Sus scrofa: one gene and its partners. The protein of the gene in region 2 purifies or fractionates together with the protein of the main gene of each other region. This does not show direct contact. Links are inferred from orthologs where the notes say so. Each region holds a gene or a part of one and is shown on either strand. Other genes may lie near its edges.

The links.
Region 1: the proteins of TRIM33 (region 2) and SMAD2 purify together in Homo sapiens (affinity purification with western blotting; 7 studies listed by BioGRID and IntAct, with this or other methods). This does not show direct contact. The link is inferred for Sus scrofa from reciprocal best matches to the Homo sapiens genes TRIM33 and SMAD2.
Region 3: the proteins of TRIM33 (region 2) and PNMA2 purify together in Homo sapiens (affinity purification with mass spectrometry; 3 studies listed by BioGRID and IntAct, with this or other methods). This does not show direct contact. The link is inferred for Sus scrofa from reciprocal best matches to the Homo sapiens genes TRIM33 and PNMA2.
Region 4: the proteins of TRIM33 (region 2) and SKIL purify together in Homo sapiens (affinity purification with western blotting; 4 studies listed by BioGRID and IntAct, with this or other methods). This does not show direct contact. The link is inferred for Sus scrofa from reciprocal best matches to the Homo sapiens genes TRIM33 and SKIL.

The regions. Positions count from the first base shown.
Region 1 is NC_010443.5:97,480,267-97,486,800, forward strand, and holds the start of SMAD2 (mothers against decapentaplegic homolog 2), read right to left. Parts: upstream 3,958-6,534; 5' UTR 3,957-3,957; coding exon 3,721-3,956; intron 1-3,720. UniProt on the Homo sapiens protein: Receptor-regulated SMAD (R-SMAD) that is an intracellular signal transducer and transcriptional modulator activated by TGF-beta (transforming growth factor) and activin type 1 receptor kinases.
Region 2 is NC_010446.5:106,161,635-106,167,532, forward strand, and holds part of TRIM33 (E3 ubiquitin-protein ligase TRIM33), read left to right. Parts: coding exon 1-216; intron 217-1,091; coding exon 1,092-1,256; intron 1,257-4,761; coding exon 4,762-4,962; intron 4,963-5,898. UniProt on the Homo sapiens protein: Acts as an E3 ubiquitin-protein ligase. Promotes SMAD4 ubiquitination, nuclear exclusion and degradation via the ubiquitin proteasome pathway. According to PubMed:16751102, does not promote a decrease in the level of endogenous SMAD4.
Region 3 is NC_010456.5:10,420,222-10,426,184, forward strand, and holds the end of PNMA2 (paraneoplastic antigen Ma2), read right to left. Parts: exon of another isoform or gene 5,857-5,963; intron 5,237-5,856; 5' UTR 5,106-5,236; exon of another isoform or gene 4,875-5,105; 5' UTR 4,355-4,874; coding exon 3,260-4,354; 3' UTR 2,104-3,259; downstream 1-2,103.
Region 4 is NC_010455.5:109,052,921-109,058,241, reverse strand, and holds part of SKIL (ski-like protein), read right to left. Parts: intron 4,836-5,321; coding exon 4,611-4,835; intron 3,498-4,610; coding exon 3,339-3,497; 3' UTR 1-3,338. UniProt on the Homo sapiens protein: May have regulatory role in cell division or differentiation in response to extracellular signals.

The DNA of each region.
Region 1 (6,534 bases), on a different chromosome or scaffold from region 2:
AATGCCAGGGATTGAACCCAAGTCCTCATGGATGCTAATCAGATTAATTTCTACTGAGCCATGACGGGAACTCCAGGGCTATGTTTCTATCCTCAATTTAGCCCCACTCTAACATTAGAAAATAGCAAGTGGAAAGAAGAAAATTCTGTTAAAAGTCAATGAAACAGCTATTTTAACAGAAAATATTTGCCATTTTAAAAATTAAGTAATTTACATTTTACGTTCATCAACTGAATTTTTTGGTGTTTTTAGGTTTGTAAAACCATAAGGTATTTTATTAACAACTTACTTGCAATTTTAAGTTAATAAGCTTATAGTAAATCCAGTTTGTATTATATCTTAAATAATTTTGCTTAAGCTGTAGTTTGTATTCCTCCACTAATGGACCCTTTCCCCAACCATCCCCCATGCTTAAGAGATGACTGAATGTTTAAGGACATTTAATAGTTAAGGAATGACTAATAATCTGATATAACTGTTCTACTATTAAAAGCAAACATATATATATGGCTCCAAACTACAGTGTAAGAAACTTAAATTTTTTTAGAGACAACAACCTAAATGAACAAATCTTTATTTCTTGCAATATAAAAAAGACCACCACATGAGACAAACAAGTTTCTAAGCTTCAAGGAACTTTGAAGAATGAAGAAGATAATGGTTGATAACCAATTCACTTTCATTACTCAGGTAAAAGTGCAGGAAAAAAAATCTTTAAAGAATGAAAAAGTGTAGGAAAATAAATTTTAAATGATGAAAAAGCATTAGAATATTTAAAAAAAAACCTCTAAAAAATAGACTGTAAAATGAATAATGGAAAAATAAGGAAAAGAATTTTGACTAAGGTGACTTCCACAGTTTAAATATCCACATCCACAAATATCCACGTCATGAGGTGGCTGCCTACTGCATCTTCTTAAAAGACAGGACTGCATGGTTATACCCTCAGCCCTGTTCCTTCAATGACCTCACTGCACTGGCAGCTGGAGTCTTAGATGAAGCTGTGCAAAAACACGGCTCCATGTCCCCCAGGAATCACATGACACCCTTTGAGGAGGGAGACCACATACTAACCAGTCTCCCTGCCTCTACTCTTGACAGGCTCACAACCATTTCCTCACTGCAGTCAGATGCTGTATGTAAACTAACCCAACTCAGGAGTCTTCTTTACCTAACACCGAGGACTCCACTCTCACCCAACCACGCTGGGGTTCAGGGTGAACCCCTAAGTGCAGGATGTGGGGGCTCCTCACACCCACACAGCCTCTCGCTCCTGCCATATGCCACCTCCAACTCCCAGGACACCCTTCACCAGTTCTGGCCAACTGCCACCCTCAATACCACAGAGCCTCTCTGGAGGGATTCAGCTTCTCCTGAAAAGTCCTCCTTGACATCCACTCAACCCAGGCATCAATCTTTCTCCAGCAGGAAACTTTCCACACAGCATGGAGTAGGGAAGGCTCCCCCTCTTTGGACATAGGTCCCTAAGCATACATCTTTCAGAACAACCCCTGGATGTTATGAAATTATCTTTCTTCTTTTTTAAAGTTTATCTTCCTTTCTAGAAAGTAAGCAACTCAAGAGCAAAGACTTTTATGTTTCTAAATGTTTACTGAACTGAAACATCAGACACTATACAATGAAAAATCAACAAATATGGCCTGACTTATTCCTAGCCAATTCATTAGCAAATCCTGTCAGTTCAGCTTCCAACCAGATTCATCCACTTCCCGAGTTACCACCACCTCGCCAGCCCAGCCTAGCCTCTGGCATCTCCATTCTGGATTACTTTAACAGTCGCCTCATTCCTCTGCGTCCACACCACTATACCACACCAGTCTATAACACACATGCCCACACACTCCACTATCCACACCCTCTTGTCTCCAGCAGCCAGAGTGATCTAAGATATAAAGATAAAAATTTCTTCTAAAATTTACTTAAATTTAAAAATCCACTTTAAAAATCTTCATTTGCTTCCTATTGTACTGGGACTAAAATCCAAACCGCCTCCTGATGCCCCATCTAATCTGACTCCTCCCAAGCCTTGTGCTCATTTGGTGTTACTGCATCTCTACTTCGATCCATTAAGTCTCCAATACGACAAGCTATGTCCCACCCTGGCGTCTGTATGCTTGCCCCTTCCTCTGCCTAGAAGACTTCCTTCAGCTACCTGCTACTTCTCCAAGTTTAGCTTAAGTGTCACAATCCAATCCAAAGCAGCTTTTTAATCCTTCAGTCACTGTCTTTTGTCCTCATTACCATCTCAAATTACATTAATTTGTCCACTTGTTTACAGTGTGTATCTGTCCCTCAGGAGGGCAGGAACTCCGCATTTCATCCATGCTGTGTCCCATATGCCTAAAACCAGTGCCTTTCACACGGAAGGCATCCATAAGCATTTCTAAAACAAAAGAATAAACCAAGAAAAGTGACCCTTACTTAAGAAATACCTGAAACAAGGAGTTCCCATTGTGGCTCAGTGGAAACGAATCTGACTAGCATCCATGAGGATATAGTTTTGATCCCTGACCTCGCTCAGTGGGTTAAGGATCCAGCATTGCTGTGAGCTGTGGTGTAGGTTGCAGATGCGGCTCAGATCCGGCGTTGCTGTGGCTGTGACACAGGCCAGTGGCTACAGCTTCAATTCGATCCCTAGCCTGGGAACCTCTATATGCCATGGGTGTGGCCCTAAAAAGCAAAAAAATAAAAATAAAAGTTAAAAAAAAAAAAGAAATACATGAAACAAGGTAAAAGAAATGGAAAGTAATCGGTAATTTTGTTTTATTACCAAACAAAACAAGGCAGGAAACATTCTAGTTAGTATCTGCAAGAAAGAAAGGCTGGTGTCACTGGGAGCTATTATCACAAGCATCCAGAGTTATTTCCCAAAACTCATTAGAAACATGTCAAGTAGAATGGTTTCATGTGCCATATGCTAGCCTATGTGTATGGCACTGCAAACAATCATTTTAGAAAATGCTATAAACTCACACTCCCCATAACCCTGCAATGTGCACAACTACAGTAGTGTACACTACAACACTTAAAAACTACTCGTTATGCTATTTGAAAAACCAGAATTTCTGACAGTGGTAATGATCTGTAAATGATTAAATTTATACTAATAAAACTTCAACCTCTTAGGTAACAGGTCCTTCTCTTATACGAGGCAGGTCTTCAAGACAGGATCTGACTATGGCACCTAAGAAGCTGCCTCATATACTGTTCTTTCTTAGAAATAATGCTGCAACTCAAACAAAAGCCATAACTCGTCACAATGTTAGCAGCCTCTGTTAACTCCTTACTGAAGTTTTGACCAGAGGAGCAGGAAACTGTCAGTCACTACTGCACTAGTGATACAAAAATCTTTGAATCTTTATTCAAATGTCACTCAATCACAAAAATTAGGATAACATACAATGAAGCATTTAGGCAATGAAGGCAAATGAAGACAGTGAAGATAAACCTTAGTAAAATCTAAGTATTTTATTTTGCTTGATTAAACTTTCTCGCTGTTCAAGAAAAGGATTTATAAAATAAACAAGTCTTATCGTGTCCAACAAAATTAATATGACAGGTTAGAAATAGATTTCATATTTTAATAATCACTATTGACAGGTGAATTGCATGTAACAAAATTTCAGTAACTTTCCTGCAGATTCCTTTAAGCAATTTTCAACAGGATGGCCATCAAGTTTCTGACCTAACCACACTTACCTTGGTATGGTAACACATTTAGTATTACAATTTTGAGTGGTGATGGCTTTCTCAAGCTCATCTAATCGTCCTGTTTTCTTTAGCTTCTTCACCAAACTTTTAACTGCTTTCTCACACCACTTCTCTTCCTGTCCATTCTGCTCTCCTCCACCTGCTCCTCCAGATCCACCAGCTGACTTCTTCCATCCCAGCAGTCTCTTCACAACTGGCGGAGTGAATGGCAAGATGGACGACATGTTCTTACCAAAGGCAGCGGTCCACACTAAGAAAATATCCTCCTTAATCTAACCTAGAAAAGATATGGAAAGGACAGTTGAGAGGCTAACTTTACCATCAACTACTGCTTTCAACACAGGAGCAAAAGCAAATTACAAAATGAGATAAGAAATTCAAATTATTACTTTCAGAACAGACTTTCAGAAGTTATCTTTTTCACCCATGACAAGTCTTCACGAATTTAAATGAACTGTGGAAACAAATCCTTCTAAAAACAAGACAATGATAAGTGGGCCAAGAGAACAATTTTGCAAGACAGAAAATTTTTTTATCTTTATCAACACTGGACCATTAATCACTACCCATACTACTATATTTTTACCTTTTAATAGTAGCAATAAAATATTTTCACTAAAACAAAGTTTTCCTTATGTTTTTAGAATTTCAGTCTATTCTCAAGACACTTAACAAAAATACATTTTTTTAATTTACAGGGCCAATCTCCCCGAAGTTTTAAACTTTCATAACTATCATAAAGTAAAGTCTAAGGTCATAACAAGGGGAAAGGAGAAAGGCATCAAGTGTGAAGTAAACAACCAGAAGTAAAGGTAACGAGAGACTGTGAGGAAGAGATGTGGTTCACTTTGAGAAGACTTTTAATTAAGCTTCATTTTAAAAATATTTTTTTCTCTATCTAAGTAACAACCCACATAGTGGATAAAGTCAAATAAAGCTCTTCTCCCCACACCAAGGTACAACTCTTTAAAATCTTTGAACCTTTACTCTTGCTATTTATACCTAAGCAATGGTCCCCCTTGAAGTATCAAGTTAAATATACCTATTGAAAATGAAGATTTACACCACAATCACTTGCTTTTCCTCCAGCCCTGAAAATAATTATCTTCCAACTGTAGTTTTATACCTGAAGAGATTAGTAGTAAACTACTATATAATCCTGTTTCCTTTTTTGTACATCTCTTTCTTTTTCTCCAGAGCTAATTATGTCAGTTTTTCATCTGCCTAGTTTTCTAAGCACCTACCATAAATTCTTCCTACTCTCTCTACCAAGTCCCTCAATTAAAATTTAATGTCAACAGCTTTAATCTCAAAGTAAGAGATAAGAACATTTACCACTGAGGGCAGAACTAGAGAGTTTAGATTTGAGAAGAATGGAAAAGATTTAGAAATGCAGCTCTGAGAAATACTGTAGAAAATCAAACTGAGTGAGGTCAGATAAATTTTATCAGGTATTTGCCAGACTATATATCAGAAAGTATTCCATGAAGGAGTTCCACTTCTAAACAGGATGTAGCAAATCACAAGAGACCATCACTTTCACCCTAACAAACAAAACAAGACAGATAAACTATAAAATCATGGTTTTTCTGAACCCGTCTAAAAGTTAAAGATGCAAAGTAATAAGCTAAATGTAACTAAATTCCAGAAAGTGTTGAATTTTGATAGGAGAGGGGCCCACAGATGGTCTCTTTCCTAGTGGAGCAACCAAGAAGGAATGATCCCACCATGATGAGGGTAAGGAGAAATCAGCCTAAACTTTTAAGACATTTAATAGCAACATGTAGGCTGACATGATATATTAGAATTCAAAGGGTTCCCCAGAGCAAGGCTATGACCTCAACTACTCAACCCCACAGGCCCTCACCAAGTGCTGGCCAAAATATTCCAAAGGTTGATGGACAGGGCTGAAAAGATGGGAGATACCCTAAGAAGCTTGGGGTCTTCCTCAAACGCAAGGAATCTGTCCTCTGACCAGGGAAGGGAGTGAGGGGAGGTAAAAGAAATCAATCCAAGAGACTATAGACATGCAGCTGCCAAGGGCTGAGGTGGTGCAGAAGAGCTGAGACAAAACCTTAGAGCAGACACTCTGGAAATTGACTACCAAGGCTGGGGTAGGAAAGGACTGCTGAGAGAAACTCTGGAAGGTATCTATCTCATAGGCACAAAATCCCGGGGCAGGACTAGAGAGCAAAAGGAACTCCAGAGTAGAGTTCCCTGGTGGCTCAGTGGGTTAAGGACCCAGTGTTGTCACTGCTGTGGCTTGGGTTCATCTCAAACCCAGGACCTTTTTTATGCCGTGGGTGTGGCAAAAAAGAAAGAAAAGAGCAGGAGGATGGGGGAGGAGGAGGCTCCAGAATGCCAAGGGACCAGCAGCTGGGCTGTAAAGCTGAGAAACCACCCACAGTTCAAAGAGCTGATGGCTCAGAGATAAAGCATAAGGAAGTAACTGAAATCACACTAAAACAACAAAGCTTGAAGAAGGAATCTTAATCCCACTCTCAAAACACTTGAATTAATCCAACTGAAGTTGCAAAGAAGCCTAGAACCAGCTTAACTACACACACATCTTACTGACACAGCCCCAGGAGAAATGATGGTCCATTTTCTGGTTTTACAAAAATGTTCAGCATCCAGTCAAAAATTACAAGACAGAGAGAGTAGCAAACCACAGTCAAAGATGAAGTACTAATATAATCACATCAAAGAGGGTCTATATTTTGGGATTATCAGACAGACTTTTTTCTTTTTTTTTGGTCTAAGGGCCTCACCCATGGCACATGGAAGTTCCCAGGCCAGGGG
Region 2 (5,898 bases):
CAAGTTCCTCCAGGAACAAACCACATTAGTAAAACCCCTGGGCAGATTAACTTAGCACAGCTTCGACTTCAGCACATGCAACAACAAGTGTATGCACAGAAGCATCAGCAGTTGCAACAGATGAGGATGCAGCAACCACCTGCACCTGTACCAACAACAACAGCAACAACACAGCAGCACCCTAGACAAGCAGCCCCTCAGATGTTACAACAACAGGTAAGCATTATATCATATTATTGATATAAATTACCCTCTGTCCTATACAGATAAGTTACACATTTCAAAGTTACTAACAAAGACGGGGCTCAGAGGTCAGTTTAAATATTTGCTTTGGGTATGGCAGGGATGTGGGGGAAGGTGTGAGGAAGGACAAGAATTAAATACTTACAGTGGGAAACAAAATATAACTCACCAGTACTAGGGAGGCATAAACATTTTTATCCCTCCATACCAGATCTTTTTTGTTTTACACATGTGGTTTTTGGGCCAAAGAGCCGTGTTGTTTCAGCTTAAGATCTGGTTTCTCTACTCATTTGTTCAAATCACTCCCATCCCTGCATGTCTTCTACCCCCTCTCCCATCCAAATCAAATTATTAATCCAGGGTTAAGTTAATGCTGATAGGCTTTAAAACACACCCAACCATTGAGGAGTTCCCATTATGGCTCAGTGGTTAACGAATCCGACTAGGAGCCATGAGGTTGTGGGTTTGATTCCTGGCCTCGCTTAGTGGGTTGAGAATCCGGCATTGCCGTGAGCTGTGGTGTAGGTCACAGACACATCTTGGATCCCATGTTGCTGTGGCTGTGGCGTAGGCCGGCAGCTACAGCTCCGATTTGACCCCTAGCCTGGGAACCTCCACATGCCACGGGGGTGGTCCTAGAAAAGACAAAAAGACAAAAAAAAAAAAAAAAAACCCAAAAACAAAAAACACACATATACTGAGAGGAGGAGATTAGGGTTAGAGATGAGAATGTCTTTCACTTTTTACTTGATGCTCTTCTATCTTAAATTATTTTTACCATAATATTTTATAATTGAAAAGTAAATTTATGAATATTATTACATAAATGCAATTTCTACTTTTCGTAGCCTCCAAGATTGATCAGTGTGCAAGCAATGCAAAGAGGCAACATGAACTGTGGAGCTTTCCAGGCCCATCAGATGAGATTGGCTCAGAATGCTGCCCGAATACCAGGGTTACCCAGGCACAGTGGCCCTCAGTATTCCATGATGCAGCCACACCTCCAAAGACAAGTATGCCTAGAGTTACATTTGTAAGAATCATACAATTTTAAAACTAAAAGACAACAGTTTTCTGAATCAGTGGCGGTGGGGGGGGGTGGTCATTGATAACTTTAAGAATTTGATTAATGCTATGTATCTTCTTGACCCAGAAAAATACATGTAAAATTTGTATTAAATTTGAAGTTTCTTTGATGTCGTTAAACCCATTATATACTTTAGATTGAAAAATCCCTGATCTAATCCAACCAGTTCATTTTACAGTGAAAAACAAAGGAGCTTGTTATGTACCCACAGTCTTAAGAGATAATGGTAAAATCAAAATTAAAGCTTTAGTTTCCTAGAGTTTCTGTTGTGGCTCAGTGGTAACAAACCCAACTGATATCCATGAGGAATCGGGTTCAGTCCCTGGCCTCGCTTAGTGCGTTAAGGATCCGGCGTTGCCATGAGTTGCAGTGTAGGTTGCAGACATGGCTCAGATCCTACATTGCTGTGGCTGTGGCTGGCAGCAGCAGCTCTGATTTGACCTCTAGCCTGGGAACTTCCATATGCCATAGGTGTGGCCCTAAAAAGCAAAAAAACCAAAACGAAATAAAACAAAAAAACCTTTAGTTTCCTTTGAAATTGTTCCTTTGCTCTTTTAATGTGACATTTTGAACCTAATATATGAAAAGGACTTGGAAAAAAATAGAGCCATGCTGTCTATAATTTTTTTTCCACCTCTTTGCTCAGTATTCTTTCTTTTAGGATGGATATGCCTATTCTTAAAAATAAGTATGTTTTAGAGCCATGTTTTCTAATCTTTGCTTGAAATAGTAGATGATATTTTTATGGAGGTATGATTATAAAAATGAAGCTACTTTAGGCTTTCTAGTTATGAAGGAAATAAAGGTCATTTTATACTTTGTTAGAGTGATGTTTCTCAAAGCATGGTTTAAATACCGTTAGAGTGTCTATGACTTCTTGTCAGAAGCAGATTCTGAACTATATTCGTTGAATCATAATTTCCAGGAGGGGAATACTTAGAAATATGTTAACTTTTACTGACTCAGATCCTCAATATACGTACTAAAATTGGACAAATACTGTCCTAAGCATTAGTCTTTCAACTTTTGGCCCAGTTACCTCTGGGAAGTCTTGAAAAATACACACTCCCTCATATTTGAATGTTGACATTTAAAACTTCCATTACAAGTTTAAGTGTAAATAGTTGCAAAGGACATATTGTCTAGCATATTGTAAATATTAACATTATAAAATAAAACCTTTACATTTTTCTTGTAAATAGATCCGCTGGAGTCCCAAATACTGTAGTAAGTTCTTTTTTGAAAATCAAAATTTTATATTCCCGTTTCTCCTTGGCCTTGAATTTCTCTTTGCTTTTACAGAATTTTATCTTAATAAATATATTTGATAGATTTATGAATCAGTTTATTGCAATTTTCTGCTGGAAGGATTCTATTTCAATTTAAAAATTCTTAAATTTCTGGTTGATAATGCTATTATTAAGCTTTAAACTTTTTCTTTAGACCAAATTTTTTATTATAGTTATTCCTACACAGTTGTTTAAAGAAGAAAAATATGTTTACATGGTTTAAGAAAATTAGGAAACAAAAAATAAATTCCTTTAGGTATGTATTTCTTTATGAGATAGATGGAATCTTTTCTACTTCCTCTTTATTTATGCGTGTTTGTATGTCTGTTACCTTGTATTATTAGAGTAAAAGGCAGAATTCAACATCGATCTTTTTTTTTTTTTTTTTTTGCTTTTAGGGCCACTCTCGCAGCCTATGGAAGTTCCCAGGCCAGGGGTCAAATTGGAGCTACAGCTGCTGGCCTATGCCACAGTAATAGGGGATCCAAGCCATGTTCCACTCCACCACAACGGGAACTCCCAGCATTGGTCTTTATTACTAGTTTTTCTGTTTTCATGTGATGTGTGGGAAACTTTTTCACAAAAATTTGTGTCGGGGAATTCAAAACTATTTAAAAAACCTTTATCATCTGACAGCTACTTCAGGTCTTGCCTCATTTTTGTTTATCACCTACAATCAGAACCCACTCAAAGATTTGTTACCCAGGTTTTGGAGCCAGTAACTGTGCCAACAACTTGGCACTTCTATTTCCTTCTGTACCTTTGCCTGTCTCTCCAGAAGGGTTTTTGTTTTTGTTTTTTTCCTGGGACAGTATGCTCGATAAGATTAGGAATGGATTAAAGATGTATGGAGTTCCCGTCGTGGCGCAGTGGTTAACGAATCCGACTAGGAACCATGAGGTTGCGGGTTCGGTCCCTGCCCTTGCTCAGTGGGTTAACGATCCGGCGTTGCCGTGAGCTGTGGTGTAGGTTGCAGACGAGGCTCGGGTCCCACGTTGCTGTGGCTCTGGCGTAGGCCGGTGGCTACAGCTCTGATTCAACCCCTAGCCTGGGAACCTCCATATGCCGCGGGAGCGGCCCAAGAAATAGCAACAACAACAACAAAAAAAGACAAAAGACAAAAAAAAAAAAAAAAAAAAGATGTACTGTATTGTATTTTGGTTTTGGAGAAGGGCAGTTGTGAAAGAAGTAGTTGAAGAAAACAACTTAGAAACCATGGCACATTCTTAGGTATAGGTACATCAGGTTCTTTTTCAGAAAAAAGTACCTGTGAAGGTTGACTCTCTGGACTTTAATTTCCTTAAAAGTGTTCACATATACCTGTACCTCTTAGTACATGGAAAGCCTTCAGCTATCACCCGGGGCAGGTTCACCTTCAGAAGAGTGCAGAAGCTACAGAATCTGAGCAACCAACAATCTCAGCACATTGTCCTGAGACTTTGGGGCCCCTATAGAAATCACTGGATGTTAGAATTTTAAGTTTTTAAATATTTCATATGGTTTATATGTGTATAGTAATTTATTTCCCAACTATTTCCATCTATATATTAAATGATCCTTGTAAACACTCCCTTAAAGACCAGCATCCATTTTCATTCGTCATTATCCCTATTTCTAAATTGCCGAGATAGTGTTTTGGCCTAAAGAAACATGGCATTAGAGTCAGAAATAGATGCCATGTTTCCATTTGTAATTCATTGTTCTTTCTACTATATTAGTTACATAATACACAATTAATTGTTGCATTTTATAAAAGATAAAAAAGTCAAGGTGAAATATAGACAGAATAGTGGCTTTCCTGGGCTGATGTTTGAAAACTTTAGTGATATATAAATCATCTATTTATATATATATCTTTGTTCTGAAGTAAAATCATATCGCCAGGCTGACAAGGTACGATTATTGGCAAGCCTGTTTTTTCTAAATACTATACAAAAATGAATAGAAAAATGAAAAAGCTAGGTTTGATTTTCTTTCTTTTTTTTCCTGAGTAAGTTTGAGAAGGCCTACTTCTTTATCGCTCAGCCACAGAGAAACACTGAACTTCTGTATCCTTTCTAAGCTAAAGATTGTTGTCAAAGTAAAGGTCATGTTAGGATATCCTGGCAGATCAAGTAACGATCACATCTTCTTTTCTAACAGCACTCAAACCCGGGGCATGCTGGACCCTTTCCTGTTGTGTCGGTGCACAACAACCCAGTCAATCCAACCAGCCCTACTACAGCTACCATGGCAAATGCAAATCGAGGTCCCACCAGCCCGTCTGTTACAGCAATAGAACTAATTCCCTCAGTGACCAATCCAGAAAACCTTCCATCGCTTCCAGATATTCCACCCATACAGGTTTGTATTTGAGTCAAATGAGAGTTTAAAACCTGTTAATAGGGAGCTAGAGTATTTATTTCTGGTTGGGTGTGAGGGGTTTTTTTGTTTATTTTTAATTCAGGAGCAACTTTTTTGGGGGGGGGGAATTTCCAAAGAGAGTGTGAATATTTGAATTTTTAAAAGTTATGTGTGCTAAAACTAGCACTTCTCAATATTTTAAAGTTACAGGGTGTCAGCTTTGCCAATCTTCCAAACCTCGTGTTGAATGAAGCACTTCTGTTATAAATTTAACTCGGTGGGGGGGGGGGCACCCAGGGCCAAGATACAGTCAAATTTTTGTCAGTCTTCTGTTAAGTCCAAAAGGGGTAGTCAGCCTCTGGTGCAGACAGGTTGGACTGAGAAAAGGAGCGATTGGAAGGTCTAGTAGCAGGCGTGTTGAGGGGTTTACTGAGAGAGGAAGTGATAATGCGGAATAGATGATGGAACGTGAAGGGCCTTTGAGCTGTTTGTCCTGTTGCTTTCACCTGTAGCATTTTTCTGAAGAAAAATAGCATTCGATGCCTTCTGAAATTTTATAAATTCATTCGAATTCAAGGCATTTTATTTTTAAATATAAATACAAAATTTGAAGGTTATACTGAGTCATCTCATGCATTGTATGAGTTATTCAGAGTCAGAGGAGCAAGAAGTAGGGACTCTACTATAAAGACACTAGGACCCATAACTTACTTTATGGCTGCAGTTTAATATTTTTATGTGTTTAGTGGATTTTTAGAGTTAGTTTTAAAGGATGTTTCTCTAACTTCAGAATTACTGTGAAATCACTAACTTGTGAATTTTCTTAATCTGATTGCTTACCTGGTAATATGAGAGATCTTTTTGGGCTAAGTGGATAGTCGTACTAGAAGCACAGGACTATATATATAAAAGGGAAAATTTGGGGATATATCAACA
Region 3 (5,963 bases), on a different chromosome or scaffold from region 2:
GCTCCAGCTGGTGGTCTGAAAGAGAGACTGAAATCCTGCACCACTTTTTTTTTTTTTTTTTTTTTTTTTTTTTTTTTTTTTTTGGTGATAGAATTGATTTTGGCAGGCACTTTTGGAGTTACTCTGGTTTTTAAGAAAATGTCCACTTGGGATGTCAAGGACCACTTGGGCATGGCAGAGAGTTGCATAAAGCAGGTCCGGACCAGGGACAATTCCAGGGTCTGCTAGAGTAGGAAGGCTAGCTTCTGAGAAACCCATCTAAGGACAGCATCTTCTATCCAAAGAGAGCTTCTGGATGAGGGCTATGTCTTCCCTGGAGAACTCAAGGAGTTCCTGGCCCACTCAGTCAGATGGGGATAGGAGAGATGTCTGCCCTCATCCTGGGCCTTTAGACTCTCTAGAGTTTACCCTGCTGGTCAACAAAAACCAAAGCCTGCATCACTTTGACAACACCTGTCTCACATCCTCTTACTGGTGTGTTTCATCTCAGGCTCCACTCTTTCAAAACTCTACCTTCCAATCCTCCTGGCTCCCCTGGTCTTGTCTGTAGGTCTCCCTTTGGGCATGGCTTGTCGTCATGATCTTTTTCTTGTTTTTTTTGTTCCTTAGATAATATCCAGGCAGATTCAGTTTATTATTACTATTGGTATTATTATTATTATTAGTCTTTTCAGGGCCTCACCCAAAGCACATGGAGGTTCCCAGGCTAGGGGTCAAATTGGAGCCGTAGCTGCCAGCCTACGCCACAGCCACAGTAATGCCAGATCCAAGCCTCATCTGTGACCTATACCACAGCTCACGGCAACGCTGGATCCTTAACCTACTGGGCAAGGCCAAGGATCAAATCCACAACCTCATGGTTCCTAGTAGGATTCGTTTCCGCTGTGCCATGATGGGAACTCCCAGATTCAGTTGTAAATGCCCCCCCTTTCCCTGCCACACTGGCTCATTGCTAGTGCTCTGTCCAGGTTTGTTAGGACTGGTCCATAGCGGGTGGTGGAGCAGAGTGGGTGAGCACGTGCCAGGAGGGAGCAAATGTGTTTGCAAGGGGGGAAGTGACGATGGCGAATGAAAGAAGTGACATTACCACTCTCCAATCACTCCTGAGGTCGGGGAGACTGAGCAGCTTCCACTCAAAGAATTTGATGGCAAGAGACGACCAGGAGGACCAGAGTTCAAGGAACGTGGTGAGAGAGAATTCTGCGAGGACTCCGATGACATAGGCTAGTTTGTTTAGGACCTCTCAGACCAGCCAGTAGGCACATAGGAGGGCCTTAGGGATGAGGATTGGGGAGGAAGCACAGTGTAGTGAGGACATGAGAGTAAATGCAGACAGTCTTGTGTTTAGGATGGACAACAGCATGAGAGGCTTGCCAGGACTAGCTGGTATAGGTGGAGAGGTAGGGGATACTTAAGACCTGAAGAGGCAGGTGGACCCTGGTGCAGAGGTAACTTCAGCAGTGGACTATGTGATCCTGGAAGCCTCAGTCTCCAAGGGTCAGGACTGGAAACACATTTAGTACAAAGTGAGACCAATCTCCCAGCAGGTTTTGCTCAAGTGATCCAGACCCTTGGAGTGGGTCAGTCTACTATGGACAGCTCTTGAGGAATGTTCCCCCATAGCACCCTAGGAAAGAGGAAGAGAAGCTATTTCAAGAGGGCCAAAGGCAGGAGAAGTTTTTTCCCCTCTATACATCCATATAGTGAAAAATGACTCCAACCAAGAAATGTAGTATTTCACCTTTAGGTCATTTGACTCTTGGCAGAATAGAGGCTGGTGAATGCCTCTGTACAGTTACTTGTCTAGGCAAAGGAGTGGGAGGTCTCTGAGGAAACTGGCCTCCATCTGTCATTTCTTATATTTTAAAGGAGAAATCAATGAAGGATGGGCTGAGCTCTCACTCATCCTTGGAGACAAAGCCCAAGTACTCCTGATTCCAGCATTTTGCTCTCAGGTTTTTTTCTCTCTCAAAGAGTTTAAGACCTTTGGGCTTTAGCTTGATTTTCTAATCTTACCTCTCAAAAAATTTTTTTAGTAATGAAATGCCCTATTTAGGCGATGGTTTGTACAGAACCACAATACATGAAGCAGAAAAAACTCAGAATATTATCAGCAGGTATTTATTTTACAACTTCACATTTATAACATTTTACTTTGTATAGTGTCAATTCATGAGAACAATGAGGCCATGTTCATGAATACAAAAAAAATGCATAAAATCAGGGTGTATTGGATGAGTTTTAGCATCTTGATTGAACAGTATTGAAAAATATAACTTAGAAAGATAAATGATCACATAGGGTATCTTCTTTCTTAAAAAAATGCTTTTCTAACATCCCCAGGATGTTCTTCAGTTAAAATTATCCATGATCAGAAAGAATTTATTTGTTATCATCACTAGTAATAGTCAACAATTGCTGGCAATTTTATCAGAAACGTAATAGACAACAAACGTTCGAACTTACCACAAGTGCTAAAATGGTTTCTAATGCAAAGTTGTCACAAATTGACTGACAGATTATATATTTACTTGTTAGTGCAGGACTGTTAGAACAAGAAAGAGAGCATGCACTTACCAGACAACAAGCACTGTGAAAATAAATAAAAAGAGTCTCAATGCATTGAGGGCTTTCTATGTTCCAGACTTCATGCTAAGTGCTTAAAAGGCATGATGCCATTTGATCCTACCAATAACCCTATTCTATTATCTTCCCATTTCTTTCTGATGCAGAAACAGATGTTTAGAAAAGTTAAGCCACTTGTTTATTGTATATACAAAGCTGCTATGATGCTATATATCAGTTGTGTTGGAACCTTGCCTAGCATTTAACTGAATGATGCTCGTTTATACCTGAAACACACTTCACATCATAGAACAAGCACAGGTCTGATTTAAATACCCATGAGGTGCTATGGCTTCCTTAATCTATGGAAAGTTAAAGTAAGTTTGGATATGTGCTCAGATATTGCAAGAGAACTTTTCTTCCAACATCTGCACAAAATAAGTCAACCTGAAAACAAAGAAGAGCCTGTTGGTAAATGCCAGTCTGTTAAAATCTATGTAGGGGCCAAGAAACACTCAGATATGTTTTCTTAGAAAGAAGAATCAAGGAAGGAAGGAAGGAAGAATCAAGATCTGGCTCAAATGCTGTCATTTCAAATGCATACATTAAAGGAGAAAAAATATCTGAAAAGGTCTTAGCCTGGTAAGGCAGAGGCCCTACCCTGCCGGCTGTGGGTCCCCCTCTGGGATGGGCTTTACTCATCCGCCTCAAGATCCCAGTGGCCATAGCCATCCCCTTCATCCGGCTCTTCAATATTCTCGTTTTCGAAGGCGGCCTCTTCCTCTTCTTCCTCGCGGATCACCTTCATCAACTCCAGGAAGCTGGGAGGCGGCCCCTGATCTTTCAGCTCCCTCAGCCTACACCAGAGGATTTCGCTGAGGCTCGCCCCGGCCATGACTTGCTCCAAGCGGACCTGATCGGCGATATTCCTCGGGATGGCCCGCTTCTCCACCGCTCTCCGCAGCAGAGTTTCTAACCGTAACACGTAGGCCGAGACTTTCTCTCCTTCCTCCTGATAGGTCTTCAGGTATTTCACCTGGGAGGTCCTGCGGCTCTCCAGGCTTCCAAACACTTGCTTAAAAGCCTCCAGACACTCCTCCACACTTATGGACGGGTTGTCTGCCTGTACGATGTGCATGAGGTCCAGGGCAGGGCCACGGAGGCTTTCCATCAACCACCTTTTCTTTTCTGCCTCTGCAACCGGCCACTCTTTGACTATCTCGGTGGCCTGTTCCAACCAGATTTCAAAGGGCTCTTCCTCTGGGGCTGGCACCGCGCTCCCGGAAAACACTCTCAGTTTCCGGTACCTCATCGGGAGCAGAGGCTGGGGGGCGTGCGCTATTGCCTGTCCCAACAAATGGGCCAATAATTCCGGTGAGACACAGGGCACTGCCGCTGGAGACAATCCCTCATGCCCCAACGCTCGGAACATTCCTGAGACCGTCTGGCCCTCTTTTTCTAGAAAGAGGTTCAGTCTCTCAAGAAATTCAGTGTCCTGGTTAGGGGTCTTAAAGATCACTTTCCAAATACCCCCTTTTCCTTGAATCTCATTGGGGATCATGGAGACATCGGTATCCTCCAGAAACTCTAACAGCACAGCGTTGGCGTTCTCCTGCTTCCGGAATATTTTGCCGAGCAGTCTGTACCTGCCCAGCGACTTTAAAGTCTCCTGGAGGACCTCCTGAATCTCAGCCTCATCACAGTCCACCGGTATCCCCATAACCATCAGTGATTTCTGATCATCTGCACTCATGATTCTACACCAGTCCTCCAACAGTGCCCGCGCCATGGTCCCAGATATTGACTCGCTCTAAGTGTGGGTACCGGATCAGTTTGTGGGGCCAATAGAGACTGCCTTAGGATTGAGAAGATCCTGGATGTGCTTCTCAACTGATAACCCACCAGTGAATGGGTGCTGGGTCATTCCAACAGCAGCATCAGAGGCTTCTGGAACAATAACCCTTACTGCCCAGTGGCCAGAACTCGGCTCTTTCTGTTAGGTCTCCACACCTGACCCAAGGTGAGCAGTTAGTATCTCAGGACAGCACCCCAGCCCCCGCCTGTGTCTCCAGAGCCGGTTCCCTCCTGAAGCCACGTGGTGGGACTGCCCCACTGGAAAAGTGAGAAGCAGCTGCTTTCAGAGTGCTCTGGGGCTCTGGCACCTCACCACTCTAGCAGGTGGGGAGACGCCTCCACTCAGGCACCCAGAACTCCTGGAGGGAAGTCTCCCAGCAGCGTGGCTTGGGCTCTTGGGGAAACAATGGCCAGTTTTACCACACAGCTTTCTCCTTCCCAGGAAGCACCTGTACCTGGTTAGGGACAGAAGTGAGGGTAAACCAGGGATTCTGCCCCACACTGTATTTGAGTCAGACCTCTTCTTTGCTTATAGTGATTTTTTTGTTGTTGTTCTCTTGGGGACTTTCCTGCAAGCTGGCTTTCCCACCCTATGCTCACCAGGCATGCAGATTAATGGAGCCCTAGTTGTGGACAGGAAGATCTTTCCCACATGCAGAATGACATCAGGAGATGTGGCCAGATACCTGTTTATGTGTTTCAAATCATCCCATGACAGCCAAGGAGCTTATGTATTCAGCTTCTAGCACAAGATGTCACTCCATGCCACACAACGGCATGTCTGGGTGTTTCTCAGCGCCAGCCAAGCCACGCTGTCCTGTATAAATATAATTGTAGTGTAATTTTATGACCTAATGATATCCAAAGTGAAGACTGTTAATACACTTTTTCCAAAACATGGCAATCCTTCACAATTTAATTAAATCTACTAAACAATAGTGAGTTGCTTCATTTCTTTGATTAAAAAATCCAATCAGAAATCACTCAAACATTTAAAACCAACTGAACACAGGTATAAAATATAACATATAATACACTTTAATATAACATTATAGGTAAAATTTAATATAGGTTTAACAATTAGAAAAAACTTGTAGAACCAAATAAGTTAAACTTGGAATTATGAATTCCCTATGGTTATGCCTGGTCAGGTTTTGAAAATGCACAAGTAGGGGCCTTTCTTGCTATAAATGTTTCATTAGTAACATGATGCTTTCTTCATAGCATCTGAACTTGAATGGGTGATTTGAGGACAAAGAAAAATCGAGGAGGCACATCTGTGGTGAGCCGGTGGAGACTGAATAATGTAAAAAGGGAAGACTGTCTATCATCCCGTTGCTGTCATGCATCGTGGAGTGTGTGTTAAGGTGCCACAACTATTTTTTCCCTAAAAATCTCCATCACTCCAAATGGGGTCCATATGCCACAGATGCCAACCTGCAGCTACAGTGGCAGCTGTTCTTGCTGCAGGCACATTTCCTGAGTCCTTCTGGAAGGTGCTGAAAGTGGGGCATGTGCCAGAGGGTCAGAAGGGCAAAATGCTG
Region 4 (5,321 bases), on a different chromosome or scaffold from region 2:
AAAAAAAATTAAGCTGTTTAAATTATTCAATCTCACAAATGTATAATACAGCAGTAATGTGTCCCTTATTGCTGACAGCTTCAGTAAAAACTAGTAACAAGTAGTTCCAAGCACAGAAATAGATGTACAGTATGAGCACAACTTTTCATTATATTAATTTTTAATGTCCTGTCGTGCAGATTAAATGCATAAGAGCAGATAAAAATGAGGATTCTTCCCTAAGCAATCAAAACATAAGACATTGAGAAAAAAATTTTAGAAACTGACCAAAAACCCTCAGCACCAGATTTACTATGACTTTTAGGGAAATACCTTGAGCATGTTCCATATTACTCAAATTTCCTTATCATTTTACTTTCCTTCAAATAGAAGCCATAGGTGTGCAAATATATTGGTTGTTGTGTCATGACTTCTAAAATATATGGATAACCGGCAAGTATCACTGTACTCAATCTATTACATCTACTTATTAGAAATTGGTTGTTAATTCAGTATGTACAAATTATTTTATTTCTCAACTGGTAATATATTAAATGTTATAAAATTAGTTTAAGAAGCATAAAACATCTGAACTTTCCTGGACACAGAAATTTAAGCATAAGAATACGCTTTAAAAAACTAAAGCACAAGCCAAACTTACGCTGTTGGTCAAATCCTTTCATAGTGTTACAAGTTGCATTTGTGAAATCAGGGTTGGTTAGAGTTTCCTCATTGACAGCAGGTTGTACGTTTACTATATGTGATTTAGTACCTTTTTCTCAAAACATTTAGAGTATAGAAACTATAATCACCCAAATTAAACTCCACTCATCACTCAGTAAACTATTATTTCATCTTTTCTTCCTTTTAAAGGTGCTCTAGCACTTCTGATAGGCCGTTCCTTTAACGCAGCTTTTTAAAGTGAATATTTTTATATGTTTCTGAAAAAGAATAATGAAGTCTGAGGGAAAAATCTGTTTGCTTGATGAATTGTGGTACACAAAAACTAACAATGAAACAAACTTTAAGCTAGCAACCAACACACAAAATGAGCATGCAAAGGATAGAGAATAATTATATGGATAAGGTATTTTAAGCAGAGGACACTTGTAAAGAATTTCAAAGTCTCTCTATTTTCAAGCTATGTGGTACAGTTTAACTTAAAATTACTTTTAACTAGAATAGGCATAATATTTACAATTGACTTAAAAAACTATTTTCAAAGAAGTTAGACAGAAACCTATGGCACACCAATGTATCTTCAGGAAAATGAAGACTATATAATATCATGTGGCAAGTTTCCCTTATGTGAAGGACTAGAAAAAATAGTTCTTTACTCAATTAGAGTTTATGATGACTTAAAGGTGATTAAGCATTGCTCAAATTTTTTAAATATTTCAAAGATTAAGCAATTTATTTTAGAATCTTTGAGTTGAAACTTAAGTAAGCTTATCATTTAAACTAAGTAACATAGTAGATTTTGAGTAAATTTGAAAAATAAATGAAACTATAAGGGCTTGAGTTTTATCTTCCAAAAAGCTTAGCTATGACACAACTAATTCACAACTAAAATGAAACTGTATCATAAAATGTCTTTGTGATTTTTCTTTCTCCAGATCGAGATAAATAAAAGGTATTAGGAGGGTATATCGTTTTTAATTTTTGTTTCTGTATGTCATTTTAACATGTCTTCCTCCTTGAGGAGATTCCAAGAATCAACAAATTAAATTTCAGGGTAAATACAGTAAAATTTAAATGGAAAATAGAAAATACACATTTAGACCATACTCTAGTAAAGAAACTATACTTTGGGAAGTACAAAAATTCTTTTAGGATATGTAAGTACCATTAAGCAAAATATGAAAATAACTGGTTAAATGATAACCTACTTATTTTTGAAGTTCTATACTAAGTATCTATCATCTATGATGGGAATAGTAAATAACCTTAATCCTAACTAATTTATTTAAAAATAAATTTAGCTCTCAAGTAATTTTATATAGTACCTTACACAAGAACAAAACATAAAATTCATGGGATAATAATGTCAATTAATGGTAGCTTCAGGAAACTTTCTTTAAAAAATGCCATTCTAAGAATTTTACCTAGAATCTTTTAAGCCAAGAATTAACTAATATGAAATTTGCCCTTAAAGAATGACAGGCTTTTCTGTGCAAATTAAAAAAAAGAAAAGTGCAGAAGTAGTTGCCCCTCCCCCGCCAAACTATGGAATTCCTGTCTTCTAAAAATTATCTAAAAACCTTTTAGTAGCAGATAACTAAACTTCCCTATATTAACCTGTCATATACTACCAGCTGACTGTAAATTTCTGATTTTGATATTAAATAGTAACTGAAAATGGTCCATTCGTGCAAATTTTGGTTAAGACAACATTTAAACATACAAAAGTCCAAAATAACCTTCAAAGTGTTTAATATTTTACAATGAAAGGAAAACAAATCTGTCATATAAATTTCAGTAAGACCCACAGCTACATATAAAAACTGTACAGGAAGATTATGGATTGTATAGAAACTGATGTATATCAATGGTATCAGTTTTTATCAAGTACATTAATATTTTCATACCACTATTAACAACATAAACAAAGTCCAAAAGTATTACATTTTATTCCCTCTTCTGAATTTGCTGAATAAAAGTTTTTTCTAAATATAACCACATTTAAACAGAAAGTCTAATTTTAACTGCTTCTTGTATTTAGCAGCAGTATGTAAGAAAGCATGTTATCCTTTCCCACAGGGTGTGCTATAAACTCATCAGTGAAATTCCCCTACTGACAAGATGTCTCTTAAGAGACACTCAATAGCAGAGAACTAGTGGAAATTCATTCCACAATATGAACAAAATAAAAGCAAATTTTGATTATAATAATGAGTATACTATAACAACTTAGAAAGGAGATTATGTTAATGAAAAAATGGAGATTCTACTCCTTGAGTAGCTCTATATATGAAATATGAAGCCACCTTTGTATCTAAAATTGAGTCTGAAATATGGATAACAAAGTTGACCACAATTATTGTACATCACACGATGCAGCTTTTAAAAAGTATGCAACTGCTAAATTTGCATTAGAAATATAGTCAGATAATCTGACAGTTGAAACCGTAGAGTATTGTTACTAAGCTGGTTGAAAAAAAGTATAAAGAAACACATTTTCAATCATTTGGAAAATGTAAAAATTTATGTACTAATATATAATCTCTTTACTTTCTCTGCTCTACAAATGGATAGTTATTTTCATGCAGATAAACTGTTCAGAATTCAATTAGCAAAGCAAACAAATAAACAAAAATAAACCCTGTTGGGAACACACAGATGAATCTCTTTAAAGATTTCTATTCTTTAGCAGTCTTTGATGATTTCAAAATTTGCAGCTTTAGCTCTTTTATCATCATCTCTAACTTCTGTCTTGCCTCCCGTTCCTGTCTAAGTTCATCTTGGAGCTCTTGCCTGTCAGCCTCAGCGTGGTCCAACCTCTGTCTCAGTTCTGCCAGCTGTGTGATTTAAAAGACTGTGTCAGTTCTCATTCGGTTGTTTTTTTTTTTTTTCCATTTATTCCTCATATCATGACAAAACCTACTTTCAAATTACTTTTTACAAAATGAACTATTTCATGCATGCTACAAACACATGAATATCTAATATTTTAATCTGACTTTGACATTACCTTAAAATGAGGGAAAAACAGAGTCAAGAGAACTGAACACCTAGAGCACTTTCATTATGCCCTACACTTGAGTACACCTCTCATCGCAGCCTACTCAGTCTAAGAGTTGTTTGTTCATCTTCTCCAAGTTGACAGCTACTACTCATTTTTGTTCCAGTGCTTATGAACACGGCGGACAACAGTTCATGTTCGTAAATTCATTGATTTGAAAGCCCATATACTACATTAAAATAACATTACATTTGATATTCAGACAGCTAGGGATTAGCAATTTGGACAACTAAACTACAGAAACCCAATAAAGTTTTATTTAAAGTAATAAAGCAATCAAGGTCAAAAACTCATCTTGAAAGGAATTCCTGTTGTGGCGAAGTGGAAATGAATCTGACTAGTATCCATGAGGACAAGAGTTCTATCTCTGGCCTTGCTCAGTGGGTTAGGATCCAGCATTGTAGTGAGCTGTGGTATAGGTTACAGAAACAGCTCACATCCCACATTGCTGTGGCTGTGGCATAGGCCAGCAGCTGTAGCTCCCGCTGGACCCCTAGCCTGAGAAATTCCATATGCCATAGGTGTGACCCTAAAAAGCCAAAAAAAAAGAAAAAAGAGACCTCCCAGAGATCCCTGGCCCCTTCCACAGATAAAAACATAGTGAGAAGACTTCATCTATAAACCAGAAAATGGGTTCTTCCCAAACATGAAACCTCCTGGTGCCCTGATCCTAGACTTCCAGTCTCCAGAACTGTGAGAAATAAATTTGTGTTAAAAAAATAAAAAATCTTGGATGATATGGCATAAAGTTATATTTAACAGAATTATCTATTTTGAAATCTAGCCTAATGAAATGAGCTTGACAAAAAGTAATTTCTTTAATGGAAAAAGTAACAGCTTCAATTTCCACATTGAAAGGGCAACACTACACAAACTGAGTAATTCTTACCTGTGCTGCATATTCAGCCTCTTTATCTTTTTCTAAATTTGAGTCACAGGTACATTTTTGCTTCATTACCTGCTCTAATTTTTTCTCTAAATCTTTCTGTTCAACGTAAAATTCTTCCATTCTTTGAGCATGTTCATTCTGCAAAGATTCAAGCTCTTTCTGTAAATTCTGCTGTTCTTCAGTGAGTTCCTTCATAGCTTTTGAACTACTCAACATTTCAACTTCCTGTAATTTAAAGAATCACAATACAATTTTTACTTTATTTCATCATGTTAAAGTTTTCAATTCAGGAAAAAAGAGGACAGAAAATATATAAAATTCAGTTATATCAGATTTCCCGTTGTGGCGCAGTGGCTAACGAATCCGACTAGGAAACATGAGGTGGTGGGTTCGGTCCCTGCCCTTGCTCAGTGGGTTAAGGATCCGGCATTGCCGTGAACTGTGGTGTAGGTCGCAGACACGGCTTGGATCCCACGTTGCTGTGGCTCTGGTGTAGGCCAGCGGCTACAGCTCTGATGCGACCCCTAGCCTGGGAACCTCCATATGCCACGGGAGCGGCCCCAGAAATGGCAAAAGACAAAAAAAAAAAAAAAAAAAAAAAAAAAAAAATCAGTTATATCAATTCTATATAAAAGTGATTATCCTGAAAAACTATTTTCTCTAAAAATTTAAAAGTATATTAATCTTTCTTATGAATGTAAAACAATAATC